Linked DNA regions of Saccharomyces cerevisiae S288C. Changing the gene in region 4 together with the main gene of any one other region gives a genetic interaction. Each region holds a gene or a part of one and is shown on either strand. Other genes may lie near its edges.

Region 1 (3,788 bases), on a different chromosome or scaffold from region 4:
TACTGTCCCTCCCATGCGTTTTAAAGGCCAGCCACGTATCCAGAAAACGCAGCACCTGCATTTTTTGGTGGCGGAGGCTATGCTGGAAAAGGTAGTTCTTCCACTGCAGTAACTTCTGCCACAGTAAATTGGCGTGGATAGGCCCTGCAACATATTGCAGGTTTAAACGGAAAGTGTCCCCGCTTGTAATGGAAGAAAACGGTAAATTTTAATGAAGTGTACAGGCATAAAAGACAGGCGGTTAGTTGTTCTGTGTTGCCTGTCACAGAGGAACAGCGCGATAGCTTGCAGCCACAAAATTATAAGGTTTCTCTGGCCAGCTATTAAAGTATGAAAAAATTCGGACAATATACATATCTCGGACGTTTTCGGAGCAGTGCAGTCACTGGTATTGTACAGCGTTTATCGTTTCTCTTTTTTTTTTTTTTTCTCACTAAAGAAAATTTTTGACCATACTTACAGTAGACTAAATTACGTATACTATTAATCCTTTTTAGTTATCTCTTCGCTTTTTTCCTTTTCCCTTTCTGCACTAATGATTACCATTATTGAATAGTTTTTCCTTTTCCAGCTTCTGCTGTTTCTTTTGCAGTTGCCTTGATCTTTCGAAGTATAGGTTAGGATGCGCGATATGCGTTTGCTCGCCAATTTCCAAATCCGCTGATGCAGAGTTGTGTGTCATTTCAAACACTTTAGTGCAAGCAATTGTGTATTCACCTTTCTGGCAGGAATCCAGAACACTGATGATCTGCGCTTGGGTCAACTTCATAGAGCGCAATTCTGCAGATAGTCTCTCGTGACTCCAATCACGGAAAGGGCATCCATGATAATCTCCGCGCCCAGGTCTGGGCTTGGAAAGGATAGTGTGACAGTCCCATGGTTTGTAGTTGATTCTGTTACCTTCAAGACCGTAATTATGCCTGAAGCTGTAACGGTATTCTTTATTGAACTTCTCCATTGTCATGTTCCCATTTCTTGTAAATGCCTCAGACCAAAATTTTAACGCTTCATCAGCGCTCAGGCCGATACCTTTCAAAAACAGACTCAGTTGTTGTCTCCCATAATACCTCAAATGATGGTTCTTTTTAAGACCCTCCATCAGGTTTTTGATACATAGCGGATAGTTTGAGCTAATCTCTTCAGACCAGACACTTTGCGCATTAATCTCATCATCTACGTTCTCACTGAATTGGTTTGCCTTTTGCTGGTTGAAATCCGCGATAGTGTACCCCGACGAAAGATGATTTAGAATTGGTAACAACCGGTCATCCTCATTCAGTCTTGGTAAGTACTGGTACGTTTTTATTAACTCCTGGTTCAATTTGCTAGCAAACTCATTAGAAAGTAAATTCAATTGCTGGAATTGTGGTAAATATGCGTACCCGTCCTTCAAAAACACTAAACGGTTTCCTACCAGTTCTATCACATTTTCGAAAGGTAATTTTATGAATTTTTCCTGTTGGAAATACTGTTTTCTTTGATGTTCCTCGTTTAAATTCAATTGGAACTGTAGAGACGCAGAAACTGTTTGATACAACTGATGAGATAATTCGGCCTTTTCTTCATTTGAGATAAACTGTAGTAAGGGTAAGTCCAATGATTGAACAAATTTTGTTTGATCGGTGGAGGTTAGCATGTTAAATCTAATTTTGAACAAAAACGTTTCAGCCCTGACGAATTTTTCCCGCAGTTCTTTTGAACGACAAAAGCACAATCTTAAAATGAAATGAGAGTAGTAATCCTTTTTTCTGTCTTCTAAACTCTCTGTGTTGAAAGGCAGTAGTTTTTGGAACTGCGGCTTGATAATGGTTTCAATTTCTTTGATCGATTTGTTTCTTGAAAGGCAAGATTCGATCTCTAACAGAATTTTGAGACGATCGATTGCCCAGATCTCAAATTGTTCCAACGTTATTTCTCCCTGTGGTGGTAAATCGTAAAATGATAATTTAGACTCATACAGCCTAGCGTAAAGTTTTTTCTCTTCTTCAGATGAACTTGAACTTAAGATGATCTGGTTAGCTGCATTTGTGTTGCCTACGTCCAATTCGCTTTTGACAATATCATCGTATGAACTAAAATTCTTCCTTGAGGCAATTCTTCTTTTTGACTGCCTGAACATTTCTTCTCCTTATTGTGCTTTACCTGCTGTCACTGGTTGCTCCACCTGGGTAGTTATCAGTCCTGTCAAAGTTGTGCAAATTGGAGAGATGTAGATAGTAAAAAATTTACTTTTGCAAAATCACAGGATTTAATATCGAGTTTTACGCGATTCCCCGCGACGCGTAATTTCAAATCAAGTTAACTATAAATGAGCAGGAAAAAGCAAATAGAGTGAGCAGCAGATATGTAAGGCAATATTGAAACAAGAAGAGACCTGTCGTATCACCTTTGGCCTGATAAAAACAGTGTTTCCATGTCTGTCTGTAGCAGCGGAAACAATCCTACGCCGTGCTTCTGGGCTCTTGATGATGTAAGATGTTCCGTTTCATGAACGCACTGGATCTCAGCTTATAACTGTTGGTTCAGAAAAATTCAATCATTTATTTAAAGAATGTACCGTACGATGAATATACGCTATAAATGCTTCCATATATGTATAAGTGTATCGTACTATATTCGTAGCGGTGTCCCGTCACCCGGTTTTGCACCCGTTCGAGGCGCGATTTAATTTCGTACATCCAGAAAGAAAACTGGCAGATGGAAATAAAGCTCGGATTTCATGATGATCATAGGTACTCTTTGTATAATGGGCTCATCTATTATATATTCACTGTTACTGTGTTGATACTCATATTTTATAAGCAGCTTAATAGGTGTGCGAACGGGAGGATTTTTGGTAAAAAGAGGCTTAAATTACAAGATACGAAAGGGTCAAAACGCTAGGGAAACCTTTCCAGGACATATAATAGTGGATACAACAAAATACACACCACTTTTTTTCTGAGCTTTCTTTCTTTTCAGTCTGTTTTAAAAACGAACACATAAAAATGCTAGTAAATAAAGTGATAGGGTTACTGGGTGTACTCTTCGCAACAAGATTTACAAATGCCGTCGAATTGGATCTAGACAACTACGAATCTTTGCAAAATGCTACTTCACTAATTGCCTACGGTTTAATGGATTATTACACTGGTAATCAGTATGGTAAGACGGTCGGTATGTTTTCAGATCCGTACTATTGGTGGGAAGCCGGTGGTGCCTGGGGCTGTATGCTAGATTACTGGTTTTTCATGGATAACGACACCTATAATGATGAAATTATAGCAGCAATGATACATCAAGCTGGTGATGATAATGACTATATTCCGCTAAATCAATCTACCACTGAAGGTAATGATGACCAAGCCTTTTGGGGTATTGCTGCTATGACTGCCGCGGAGAGAAACTTTACTAATCCTCCCGAGAATGAGCCTCAATGGCTATATTTAGCACAGGCTGTTTTCAATACCATGGCTTTGCGTTGGGATGCCGATTCCTGTGGTGGTGGTTTGAGGTGGCAAATTTTCGTTTGGAACTCTGGTTACGATTACAAGAACACCGTTTCTAACGGTGCCTTGTTTCACATAGCTGCAAGATTAGCAAGATATACAGGTAATCAAACATATGTTGACTGGGCCGAAAAAGTTTACGAGTGGATGGTCGGTGTGAACTTAATTTCTAATGGTACCTATAAGTATGTTTACGATGGTGTCAGCATTGATGATAATTGCACCAAAGTGACCTCATATCAATGGACATATAATCAAGGTTTGCTGTTGGCTGGCTCTGCCTACCTTTACAACTTTACG
Region 2 (4,741 bases), on a different chromosome or scaffold from region 4:
AAAATCCTGCTCCTGCTCCATGGAACCAAAGCAACGGGGTCTGGCGGAACCTATAATCCGTTGTGACCGGGCCCGCATAAGGAATTCTCGGCTCTTAAAATAATCTATCCTGCGCAGAAAATACTGGCTGGCAAAAAAGAAATACTAAATCAGACTCCTTGTCTTTACGTTGGCTATGTAGTCCAAGCTTGGCAGTACTACTGGTGCCTGGTTATAAGATTGATTTTTGTGACTCTTGCGGAAAGGTTCGCCGAGCAGGGACCCTGGATGAAAAAATTTCTTGATGAGGCATCAGTATAAATCACTAGGGGGCTGTACATGCATGGTCGTTTAAAATCCGACTACGCACATTAACTCTTTTTGGCACTAAAAGCGCTCGGGGTTAAGTGTACCTACCCCTCTCCGGCCGTAAAAAAATGAAGGTAATGTTTTCAATTTTCACCTTTTAGTCATTATTGTTGTTATTGTTATCACTCAAATTAAATAAAAAGAAAGAAACTACTTAGAATAAATACTAACATTAATTGTATTGCGCCCCGCTCGCCTCGAAGTCATAGTGGGCTTGTTTCTCTTTTCAGCCACTTGTATGAAATACTCTGAGGCTGCAGAAAATGCACTATTGTCCTCCATACCCTTGCGTGGTACTCGTTAATCTGTGTTTTTTCTTCTTCGTTTAGTAACTTAGTATTGATCAACTTCCTGCAATAGGGAACCACAGTCATGTTTTCGAATTTCAAGAAGTTACCCTTCTCAGTGGCCTTCTTGATTAACATGTCGCTTTCAATCCTGATACCATACTCACCATCCTTATAATAACCTGGTTCGTTACTTATTATGTTACCCGCTCTTAAGGGGAAATTCATCAGATGTGGCCTAAAGCCGACACCCATGGGTCCTTCGTGAACGTTTAAAAATGATCCGATACCATGGCCTGTGCCATGTTTGTAATCTAACCCGCGGGACCATAAAAACTGCCTAGCGATGGCGTCGATATTAAACCCGGGAGTGTTTTCGGGAAAAATCAACCTCTCTAGGGCTAAGCCACCTTTAAGTACCAGTGTGTAATTATCCATTTCTTCTTTGGTTGGCTTTGTTAAGTGAATTGTTCTTGTTATATCAGTTGTACCCTCCAAGAATTGCGAACCGGAGTCGCAAAGATATATCTTGGTAGGATCAATCATCGAAGAGTTCTCTACGGGCGGCGAATAATGTATGATGGCGGCGTTACTACCTGTGGAGGATATTGTTTCGAAGGAATTGCCCATGAAGTTCCTTTGGGTTTTCCTAATCTCGGTCAATTTTTCTGCGGCACGATATTCATCTATCAGTGCCTCGCGCCCCACTAATTGCTGCTCCAGCCATGCAAAATACTGCACTAAACATACTGCGTCTTTGACCTGCGCCTTGTGTGCGTTTTTTATTTCGATGTCATTCTTGATAGATTTCAAAACATCGATGGGTGAGTGAATTATCGCAAAGTTTTGTGCAGTCATTTTTTTAGCTATTGCACCGTTAGCGTTGGTTGAGGTGTTCAAACAACGAACCATCTGCCACGATGCACTATCAGGAATCAAAAATTCATGCTCCGCAGAAGAAGCCTGCGAAGTTATCTTTGTTAAATGTTCCCATATCTGTTCGTAAGGTCTGACTTCAATACCGTTTATCTTAAAATATTCCGATATGTCATCATTGAAGGGGTTATTGGTGAAAAGAATGGTTTCGTCTTCGTTAATAGCCACGTAGGAGAAAAAAACTGGATTATAGTCAATGTCGGATCCACGCAAGTTCAACAACCAACAAATTTCATCCAACGCAACTACTATGAAAGTATTCCTACCGGTCGTCGCAGAGGAAGCCTTATCATTCAGCTTTTTCAGTAACTTTTCCTTCTTGTCTTTGAATTCTTCACCATGAAACTCGTATTTTAACAGTAGTAAATCGTTACAAGGCCTTTCAGGTAGAGTTTCAAAATCAGGCCAAATACTGTCAACTAAGTTTTCCTCCACGGGAACCAGCTCCACTTTACCCTTTGCGTCATATTTAGTGTCAATCATTTTTCTAAAAGAAACATAGTCGTTGAAAGTGATAAGTTTTGGGTCAATACCTATCTTCAACACCATTCCCTCTTTATTGCCAAGTCCCTTGGCCATTTCCAAAGCTTCTCTGACACACCATTCTTGCCAAGTGATTGGGTCTTCGTTTTGCCTCAAAAGTGTCCAATTATAATCTAGTTCTTGTCTAGCTTGATTGAAATATCTTCCATCAGTACTCAAAATGGATTTCCCATCCGGATGGTCATCGTTGAAATTTAACAAGTCTCTGGTGATACAGGCTACACCGGCCGATCCGGAAAACCCTGAAATGAAGGCGCGCCTTTGATCTCGCAATGATACATATTCGGACTGATGTTCGTCACAACTGGGCACAATATAACAACACAAATCGTGTTTCTTCATCTCCTGACGCAACTTCAACAATCTATCAGTAGTGTTAACTTCCCTGTTAACAGCGCATAGAGAGTCACATGAGTAAACAGACCCATTTCCAGCACTGCTACCTCCGCCAGCGCCCTTCAACTCGTTGAGAAGCATGCTGGAGGACCTCCTTGAATTTTCTAACTGTCTTAAAAATAGAGAGGCTCTACGACCTTGCCTAGACAGTAAGCCTGGAGAACACGTACAATCCGCACATGGCCTAAACGGTCTGGGGCTGTGTGATGCCGATGTTCCTCTCATGTGCGTGCCAGGTACATGGGAAATCGAGTGAGCCCTGCCGTCACTGGTGGATGGTTTCGAAGTCATATGAAGATTTTGTTTGTAATTATTGGTTTCGCTCTGTTGAGGTCTCCGTTTTTTTTTTATTCTTTTTTTTTTTAGCTATGCAGTCTTTTTGCCAGTGCTTCCTGCCTTTCCTGTATTTGTAAATATTGCACCTATTAAGACTAAACTGACTCAGTTTTTGTATGTCGCTTCCTTCTTGTTCCATCCCTCATTCGAAGTATTTCTGAAAAAAGAAAACGTAGAAGAAAATTCGGGAAAATGGGGTGCGATTTTTAGGGGTCACCCGGGGATATACCTTCGGGTAACACCAGAAGTCGTCAAAAACAAAACAAAATTAAACTAAACTCTGGCGGCTAAAAGATAATCATAATGCACATAGGGAAAGCTTTCTACCATATTTGAACACTTTAACGGTTAGTTGAAATAATAAGAAATAATTATATGTTTATTTTTACGTGGGTTATAAAGACGGGTAAATTATCTTCGTTATTACTCATGAAAACCTACAAGTAAGCGGCTCAATGGCATTTCGTGGCAGATAATCTTCAGCTATCATTATTATTTTTGAGAGGATGGTTTTTAGGAGCAGTTTGAGGAATAAACAAGAGCTTAATGTACCGTTATACATTTTTAAAAAGCTGTCTTTTTTATTGGGTTCACAGCTCTCATTTTTTTCCATGCAAAATCATTTTTTTAGCCGCCGATGCTTCAAAATGGGTTTAAGATATTTATTGTTTAAATGTTTCTGCATCTGGATTCACTGAAAAAAATTTAGACGCCTAACATGTATTTTGCATTTAAAGGATTATGCGGGAGAAGATTTCTGCCCATTGCCTCTTTTCTTACTATATTGAATAGAATATTATTCCAATACTGGCTTTTTTACAATTCATTAAAAGAGGAAAAGACATTTCAGAAAATTTTCTTCTCTATGAACCTTAAATGTAGGAAAAAAAAGGAACCAAACCACATCATTTACTCTCAACCGCCTTTCTTGTTGGGGTTCATGGTACAATTGCAAAGTTGTGTCAAGTTGTTGCCACTCTATCTTTTGTTTTTGTTACAGGGTAATGGCGCACATTATGCAAGCGCGATGACGAGCAAGGTACTTTCTTTTTTCCTTTAACATTTTGTTGTCCACCGGAAAATAAAAAAAAACAAATAAATGGGTAAGATCAAAAAAGGAATAGAAGCATATGTTTTAAGGGCAACGCCGAATCGTCAAAGAACGGGAGGAAGATCAATACATTAAGTGGAAAAAAAAAGCTCCCGTAATATGGATGAAAAGACAATTAAAAAGTCGATTCTTTCATCTTCCAATGATGAAAAAATAATATACAAATCGCGAATAAAGAAATTTCAAAAGAATCATAAATTTTATATTATTCTATTGGTTTTCATCGCCATTTTACAATTCATATCAATAGCTTTTTTCACTCGGGGATTCTTACTGTCAAGACACGTTCTTGATAATATTTCCTCACAAAACGAAACGAGTAAGTTACCTCCTAGGTTCAACAAGGCGGTGATTTTGGTTATTGACGCTTTGAGATTTGATTTCGCTATTCCTGTAAACGAATCCCACTCTAATTACAACTTGAACTATCATAATAATATATTATCATTGTATGATTCTTTTGCAAGCGATAAGGATGCATCTTCCCTATTGTTGAAGTTCATTGCCGACCCACCAACCACTACTTTACAAAGACTCAAGGGTCTCACAACAGGGTCCTTACCGACTTTCATTGATGCCGGGTCTAACTTCGATGGAACAGTAATCGAAGAGGATAACTTTCTTAAACAGCTCCATTTGGCAAATAAGACTGTCAAATTTGCCGGAGATGATACATGGATGGCTCTGTTCCATCCGTTCCTTTCCAACGATAGTTTCCCACTAGAATCACTCAATGTGTGGGACTTAGATACTGTCGATAACGGTGTTATGGATTACTTCCATG
Region 3 (3,393 bases), on a different chromosome or scaffold from region 4:
GTGGAAGATGGCACGGGTGAACAGCCGACACTGATCCCAATTGCCGAACCTGACCTTTCGAATGGGAACGGTACTGGGAGCGGTATTGGCAACGGCAACAAATTAAAGAAACCGGTTCTTCCCGAATTATCACCTTGTTGTTCAAAAGATAGTTTAGTCACAGCGATGCAAAATTTAGGTTTCAATGATCTTCCCAGCACTGCTCAACATTTGGTTCTGAATGATGTGATGACACAAATGTCAAAGAGTTCGGATTTAATTTTTTCAACCTTGCCAGTTCCAGCTCTTGGAACACATGAAGATCACGATGCAAGTTTACAATATGTCGAGGACTTGGATATTTGGTTGGAGGGCTTACCTCCATGCATGTTAATCAATTCGCAAACCATGACAGTAACTACTGCATTATAGAATAACACATATATCGTTATGCATTTCCCCAGAACTTATTTACTACATATAGAAGTCTTGTAATACGGCCGAAATACAGATGCTTTATAGTAGGGTTATTGTTTCTATTCATTTTTATTTCAGTTGGGCTTTACGCTTTCCGGTTCGATATACTGTTTTACCTTACGGAATGCAAACATGGTATAGAAATATGATGCCGCTTCCTTTTCATCCCCTTCAACACCATATCTACCATCAGATCTTTGTAAACCTTCCCTCATTTTAGGCGAAAACCTCTCAATCCATTTGGGAATTTCTTGGACAAAAAATTTATTAAAAGGCATTTGCGATACTAGTTCCAAACCGTATTCATCAGCCAAACTTCTTAAGGTTTCGAATGGCACAACATATTCAGGAACATTATCTATAGCATCTTCTAGCCAATAAGTATACATTTGACCATAAGGCGATGTGAACTCATAATCATTCTTTTGGTATGAATTATTCTCAAATGTCACTTTATAAATGGAGTTTCCCCAAGATGGCTTTTCCACTTCTTTGGGAAATTTATTCAGTTTATAACGAATGAATTCTGAATCTGGTATCGTGCCAAAAAAGTGACCACCAATTTTGAGTGATTTGGCGACATTCAGTAAAGCTCTCCTTGCTTTTTCTTCGGTCTCAAAAGCATAATGCAAGCAAAATTGCGTCGAAACGATATCACACGGAAATCTACAGTCTGGGAAGGGCTCTACTGCAACACCTAATGATTCGCCAAAGCAATCCCCAGTAATTAGCACAACTTGGTAGTCCAAATTTCTCATGGACCGGTATCTCTTATGAGCTTCTTGGATAGAGGCATTGGAAATGTCAATACCAATAAACTGTGAAATACCTGCAGCACCATATTTTCTTAAATCACCACCTTTGCCACATCCGAGTTCTAAAACGACATCTCCAGGTTTTGTATATTTGTCAATTAACATATACTTAATCGCATTGTTAAAATTACGAAGCTTAATAATAGGCGATAGATTCCTCTTAGCGCGATTGGCGATTATTGTACGTTCATTATAGTGCTCTCGGACAATCTGGTCAACATTTATGGATCTATTTGCAGTCATCTCTATTTCATGTCTCTTTAGTTGCTCTTCTCTCAATTTTTGAGCACGCTGTTTGCGTAATCTTTCCTCTTGATCATACCTTTCATGTCTTCTCTTTTGGATTTTAAACCCGGATTCTGCCTCAATGGGTAGATCAGACACCTTAGAAGTAAGGATAGAGCTGCTTTGCAAAACTGGTAATGATCCATTACCATCACCAGGCGCATTGGCAGTAACTTTGGAGTCTTTTTTTGAGACTGTGGACGATTCATCACCAGTAATTGAGCCGTACTGACGGTCATAGTCTTCTTGTGACATCCATATTGGCTTCTCTGGTTTGGTTGACATTCTACTTTTCTAAGACGGATAATGGACGACTCCACGTTGTAGTAGTTGTCACATTAATCGGAAAAGTGTCTCACATGTAAAGGATTAAAATAAGAAATCTTCTAATTTATGTTGAAATATCTTGATTTACCATTACCCGGATTAGATGAAACTAATTAAAGTCATTTAGAGCAATGGACCAAACTAAAGGTATTAGAGTTCTTTCTAATATAATACAGCGCCAAATAATTCGAGAAGGGAAATCATAACGCTGTTGCCTTGGGTTTATTTGAGGTATGGAAACTATTGATTCGAAGCAAAATATTAATAGGGAGTCTTTATTGGAGGAAAGGAGGAAAAAACTAGCAAAATGGAAACAAAAAAAAGCACAATTTGATGCTCAGAAAGAGCATCAAACTTCACGCAATGACATTGTTACTAACAGTTTAGAAGGTAAGCAGACTACTGAAAAGTTTACGGAAAGACAGGAACGTGTAAAAGAAGAGCTTCGGAAGAGAAAAAATGAATTTAGGAAATCTGACGAACCTGTATCGGTTAAGCCTTCGAAGAAAAAGTCGAAGAGAAGTAAGGTAAAGAAGAAAATATCCTTCGACTTCAGTGATGACGATGATTCTGAAATAGGAGTTTCTTTTAGATCGAAGGAGCACATTCAAAAAGCTCCAGAGCATGATAATGAAAAAGATCCACTGGATGAGTTTATGACGTCATTGAAGGAGGAGAAAATGAGTAATAGTAAAGGCATGTACGACAGAGGCGACATTCTTGATGTAGAGGATCAATTGTTTGAACTTGGAGGAACCGACGATGAGGATGTTGAAGATAATACGGATAATTCTAATATAGCGAAAATTGCTAAACTCAAAGCAAAAAAACGTGTAAAGCAAATTTATTACTCTCCAGAAGAGCTTGAGCCGTTCCAAAAAAATTTTTATATAGAATCTGAAACAGTTTCCTCGATGTCAGAGATGGAAGTTGAGGAGCTTAGACTTAGTCTGGATAATATCAAAATAAAGGGAACAGGTTGCCCCAAACCAGTCACAAAGTGGTCTCAACTGGGACTATCAACGGACACCATGGTTTTAATTACAGAAAAGTTGCACTTTGGCTCCTTAACGCCTATTCAATCCCAGGCTCTTCCCGCTATTATGTCAGGTCGTGATGTTATAGGAATATCAAAAACTGGCTCCGGCAAGACCATCTCCTATCTTTTACCATTGCTAAGACAAGTAAAAGCTCAACGGCCATTATCAAAACATGAAACAGGGCCCATGGGTTTAATTCTGGCTCCAACTAGAGAGCTAGCTTTACAAATACATGAAGAAGTTACTAAATTCACAGAAGCAGATACATCCATTAGATCAGTATGCTGTACAGGAGGTTCTGAAATGAAAAAGCAGATTACTGATCTTAAAAGAGGCACTGAGATTGTTGTTGCCACACCGGGACGATTTATTGATATATTAACACTAAATGATGGGAAATTACTTAGTACTAAAAGAATAACGTTCGTAGTAATGGATGAGGCAGACAGGCTGTTCGATTTAGGTTTTGA
Region 4 (3,383 bases):
CCCGCCACCGATGATCAACACGTCGAATTGATGCGTCTTGGCCAGACGGTCCAGCAGGTCTCGTCTAGAGACCTGCGGTGGAGCGGCGGTGGGGAATTGCACCATGTAGCTCGGGTCATTGTGCACTAACGGCCTATCACCTTGGCTAGTCATCCAGTACAGCGTCCCCGTGGCTGTGGCCATGGCAGCAGCTGCACCGGCAGCTCTTCTTCTCGTTACCGAAAACATATATTAGTACGTATTTAGTCTTGTAGCAGTGATGGCAATAGCACGGTCAAGATAAGGGAGGGAGAGTCCTTGCTTTAGACCAAAGTTCCCTATTTGTGGCTGTTCTCTTTTAAGTTTAAATACGATTTTTAGCGTGCGGGGTTGTGAAATTTCCCCTGCCAAAACTGAAATAAAGTTGGGTGGATAACGTATCGGAGCAGAGAAAAGACATAAGGTCTGTTGCTGTATATAAGTATGTGTTGCTAAAAAGGAATTAGTGCAGTGATTATTGGTCACTCGCTGATGCCCTTGCGCTTGGCACGTTTCAGCTTCTTTCTAACCGCGAGGATGGGCACAGAGCAGACGAAGTTCTGCAGAGTGGACAGGATGACCGAGAGGGAGCAGCACAGGGCGACTGGCTTGAGGCCGTGGATCATCTCGTTGAGGAGGTGTTTTGGGTACGGATGGGTCAAGGAGAGGACGACGACGTCGAGGTCGTCGAGCACGCCCGCGACGCAGTCAAACAGGTGCATGACGTGCTTTCTGATTCTGGCAACGTTGGCGAACATCTGGGAGTCGTCCGTGGGCTTCGAGGGCTCCCAGTGGACAATGTAGACGGTGTCTCCCTGGTTGACAGCTGCGCCCATGAGATAGGTCAGGGCGTAGGTGGACTCGCTGCTCAGGTCCGTGTAGAGGATGAAGGACCTTTGGTTCCCGGCCTCTGCGCCGGCACCCTTGGTGAGTAGTTGCATGGCTCTGACGTAGCCTCCGTCGAGTTGCTCCAGAGACACGTCTTCGTTTTCGTGGCCACGGATGCTGATCTCGTACTTGGCTATCCAGGGCTTGCTGGAGTCTAGCACTTCGTTTATGCTGGTACAAAAGTTGGGTAACACTTTCATGCCCAGATCGTAGTGGAACTCCTCGTCAATCTCTAAATCGTTCTCTATATCGCTCACTTGCTCTTCATCGGACTCTTCCTCGTCCATATCGTCGCCGTCGCCGTCGTCGTCATCTTCGTCGTTGCCCTCACCTTCCTCTTCAGAATCCACATCCACGACCCTCAACCGCATCGAGGGGTCCTGCCTCAACACGGTCCACTTGAGGAACTCTTCCTCCCTTACTCTGCTGCGGCTACTGGCCCTGCTTCTCGACCGCGACAGACTGCTCACGTTTGAGTCTCGTTCGCCTCTTTTCTTCTTGCTACGACCTCTTTCCCTGTGGCCCCTTTCCATCTGCTCCGAGTCGAACTCCACCGTGGTGGGCGTTTCCGTTTTGATGCTGTGTAGATTCGATTGTGTTCCGTCAGGTTTAGTCAGCAATATGCTCTTCTGCATTGCGTACTTGGTTGTTTCTCTTGTTGGTTCTTTTGGTACTCACCCTTTCCATAGTCTCTTGTGTTTGATCAAGCCTTTTTTCCGGACCTTTAAAGCTTTCTTAAAAAGATAAAATAGGAAGAAAGTGCAAAGTGCAAAAGAACGCACATATGAACAAGCATTAAACGAGCAAAGAAATGTCTCTGGATCGTGTAGATTGGCCGCACGCCACCTTCTCTACGCCGGTGAAGCGTATCTTCGATACGCAGACAACGCTGGACTTCCAATCGTCACTAGCCATTCACAGAATCAAGTATCATCTTCACAAGTACACTACGTTGATATCGCACTGTTCTGACCCCGACCCGCACGCTACTGCGTCGTCGATCGCCATGGTTAACGGGCTGATGGGAGTGTTGGACAAGCTGGCACACCTGATCGACGAGACACCGCCTCTTCCAGGTCCTAGAAGGTATGGTAACCTAGCATGCCGCGAGTGGCATCACAAGCTGGATGAACGTTTGCCTCAGTGGCTGCAGGAAATGCTTCCCTCGGAATACCATGAGGTGGTGCCTGAATTGCAGTATTACCTGGGCAACAGCTTTGGTTCGTCGACAAGATTGGACTACGGCACGGGCCACGAACTTTCGTTCATGGCCACGGTCGCAGCACTGGACATGCTGGGGATGTTTCCGCACATGAGGGGGGCAGACGTTTTTCTGCTGTTCAACAAGTACTACACGATCATGAGGAGGCTGATCCTGACGTATACGCTGGAGCCCGCTGGGTCACATGGCGTGTGGGGGCTTGATGACCATTTCCACTTGGTGTACATCTTGGGCTCGTCTCAATGGCAGCTGCTTGATGCGCAAGCACCCTTGCAACCAAGAGAAATACTGGATAAGTCTCTGGTGCGCGAGTATAAGGACACCAACTTCTACTGCCAAGGCATAAACTTTATTAATGAGGTGAAAATGGGGCCCTTTGAAGAGCATTCCCCCATCCTATACGATATTGCCGTCACCGTTCCACGCTGGTCCAAAGTGTGTAAGGGGCTTCTAAAAATGTATTCTGTAGAGGTTCTGAAGAAGTTCCCCGTGGTGCAACATTTCTGGTTCGGCACAGGCTTCTTTCCCTGGGTCAACATTCAAAACGGCACTGATCTTCCAGTCTTTGAAGAAAAGGAGGAAGAGAGTATAGAACAGGCTAACGCAGGATCGCCCGGTCGAGAACAGACTTCAACACGATTCCCAACGTCCACGTCAATGCCTCCCCCAGGCGTTCCGCCGTCAGGTAACAATATCAACTATTTACTAAGCCATCAAAACCAGTCGCACCGGAACCAGACTTCTTTTTCAAGAGATAGACTACGTAGATAATATTAATTAAACATATAAATGTGTATGACAAGCATTATGACTTCTATTTTCGTTCTTTTTTACTTGCGTCTACAATATATAAGCATATAATCAGATGAAAAAAGGAAAAGGAAGCGGTAATACAAATAAACAAAGAAGTGGAAAAAGTCGCCACAGTGTAAGCAAATGAGTCACAAGAGAAGGGGCCTGGTAATATATCAGGATCAGAAGCAGCAACAACAACACCCCCCGGGGCAGTCCCTAAGCTCTATATCCTGGTCTCCAACCAGGCGACCTCATCACCCTTTAAAACAACAAAGCACCAACAGTTTCTCAGAAATACTATCGAAATCAAGTGTGCAACCGAACGTGCAACATGACGGTAATCATATGCCCATTTCATTGCTAGTTCTGAAACAAGAACATCATAAGCAGCAGCAGCAGCAGCAGCAGCGCCAGAATATCCGATCACAAAACTCTACGCCTCCCCTGCGACAGTTGGTTC

What was found.
Region 1: mutations in IMP21 (region 4) and PRI2 together harm fitness more than expected from each alone (negative genetic interaction), as found in Saccharomyces cerevisiae (2 studies listed by BioGRID).
Region 2: mutations in IMP21 (region 4) and FRA1 together harm fitness more than expected from each alone (negative genetic interaction), as found in Saccharomyces cerevisiae (2 studies listed by BioGRID).
Region 3: mutations in IMP21 (region 4) and ABD1 together harm fitness more than expected from each alone (negative genetic interaction), as found in Saccharomyces cerevisiae (2 studies listed by BioGRID).

Annotation. Positions count from the first base shown.
Region 1 is NC_001143.9:351,824-355,611, reverse strand, and holds PRI2 (DNA primase subunit PRI2), read right to left. Parts: upstream 2,120-3,788; coding exon 533-2,119; downstream 1-532. Other genes in the region: DCW1 (putative mannan endo-1,6-alpha-mannosidase), read left to right, coding at 2,988-3,788. UniProt on the Saccharomyces cerevisiae protein: DNA primase is the polymerase that synthesizes small RNA primers for the Okazaki fragments made during discontinuous DNA replication. In a complex with DNA polymerase alpha (DNA polymerase alpha:primase) constitutes a replicative polymerase.
Region 2 is NC_001144.5:79,521-84,261, reverse strand, and holds FRA1 (aminopeptidase P), read right to left. Parts: upstream 2,802-4,741; coding exon 552-2,801; downstream 1-551. Other genes in the region: RRT7 (Rrt7p), read left to right, coding at 3,565-3,906; mannose-ethanolamine phosphotransferase GPI13, read left to right, coding at 4,057-4,741. UniProt on the Saccharomyces cerevisiae protein: Involved in the regulation of the iron regulon in responss to decreased mitochondrial iron-sulfur cluster synthesis.
Region 3 is NC_001134.8:689,853-693,245, forward strand, and holds ABD1 (mRNA (guanine-N7)-methyltransferase), read right to left. Parts: upstream 1,842-3,393; coding exon 531-1,841; downstream 1-530. Other genes in the region: VHC1 (Vhc1p), read left to right, coding at 1-411; DEAD-box RNA helicase PRP5, read left to right, coding at 2,117-3,393. UniProt on the Saccharomyces cerevisiae protein: Responsible for methylating the 5'-cap structure of mRNAs.
Region 4 is NC_001141.2:53,481-56,863, forward strand, and holds IMP21 (Imp21p), read right to left. Parts: upstream 1,542-3,383; coding exon 501-1,541; downstream 1-500. Other genes in the region: GUT2 (glycerol-3-phosphate dehydrogenase), read right to left, coding at 1-228; peptidylprolyl isomerase RRD1, read left to right, coding at 1,718-2,899; VPR1 (Vpr1p), read left to right, coding at 3,065-3,383. UniProt on the Saccharomyces cerevisiae protein: Controls the nucleo-mitochondrial dependence of galactose, maltose and raffinose utilization. Becomes essential in the absence of functioning mitochondria.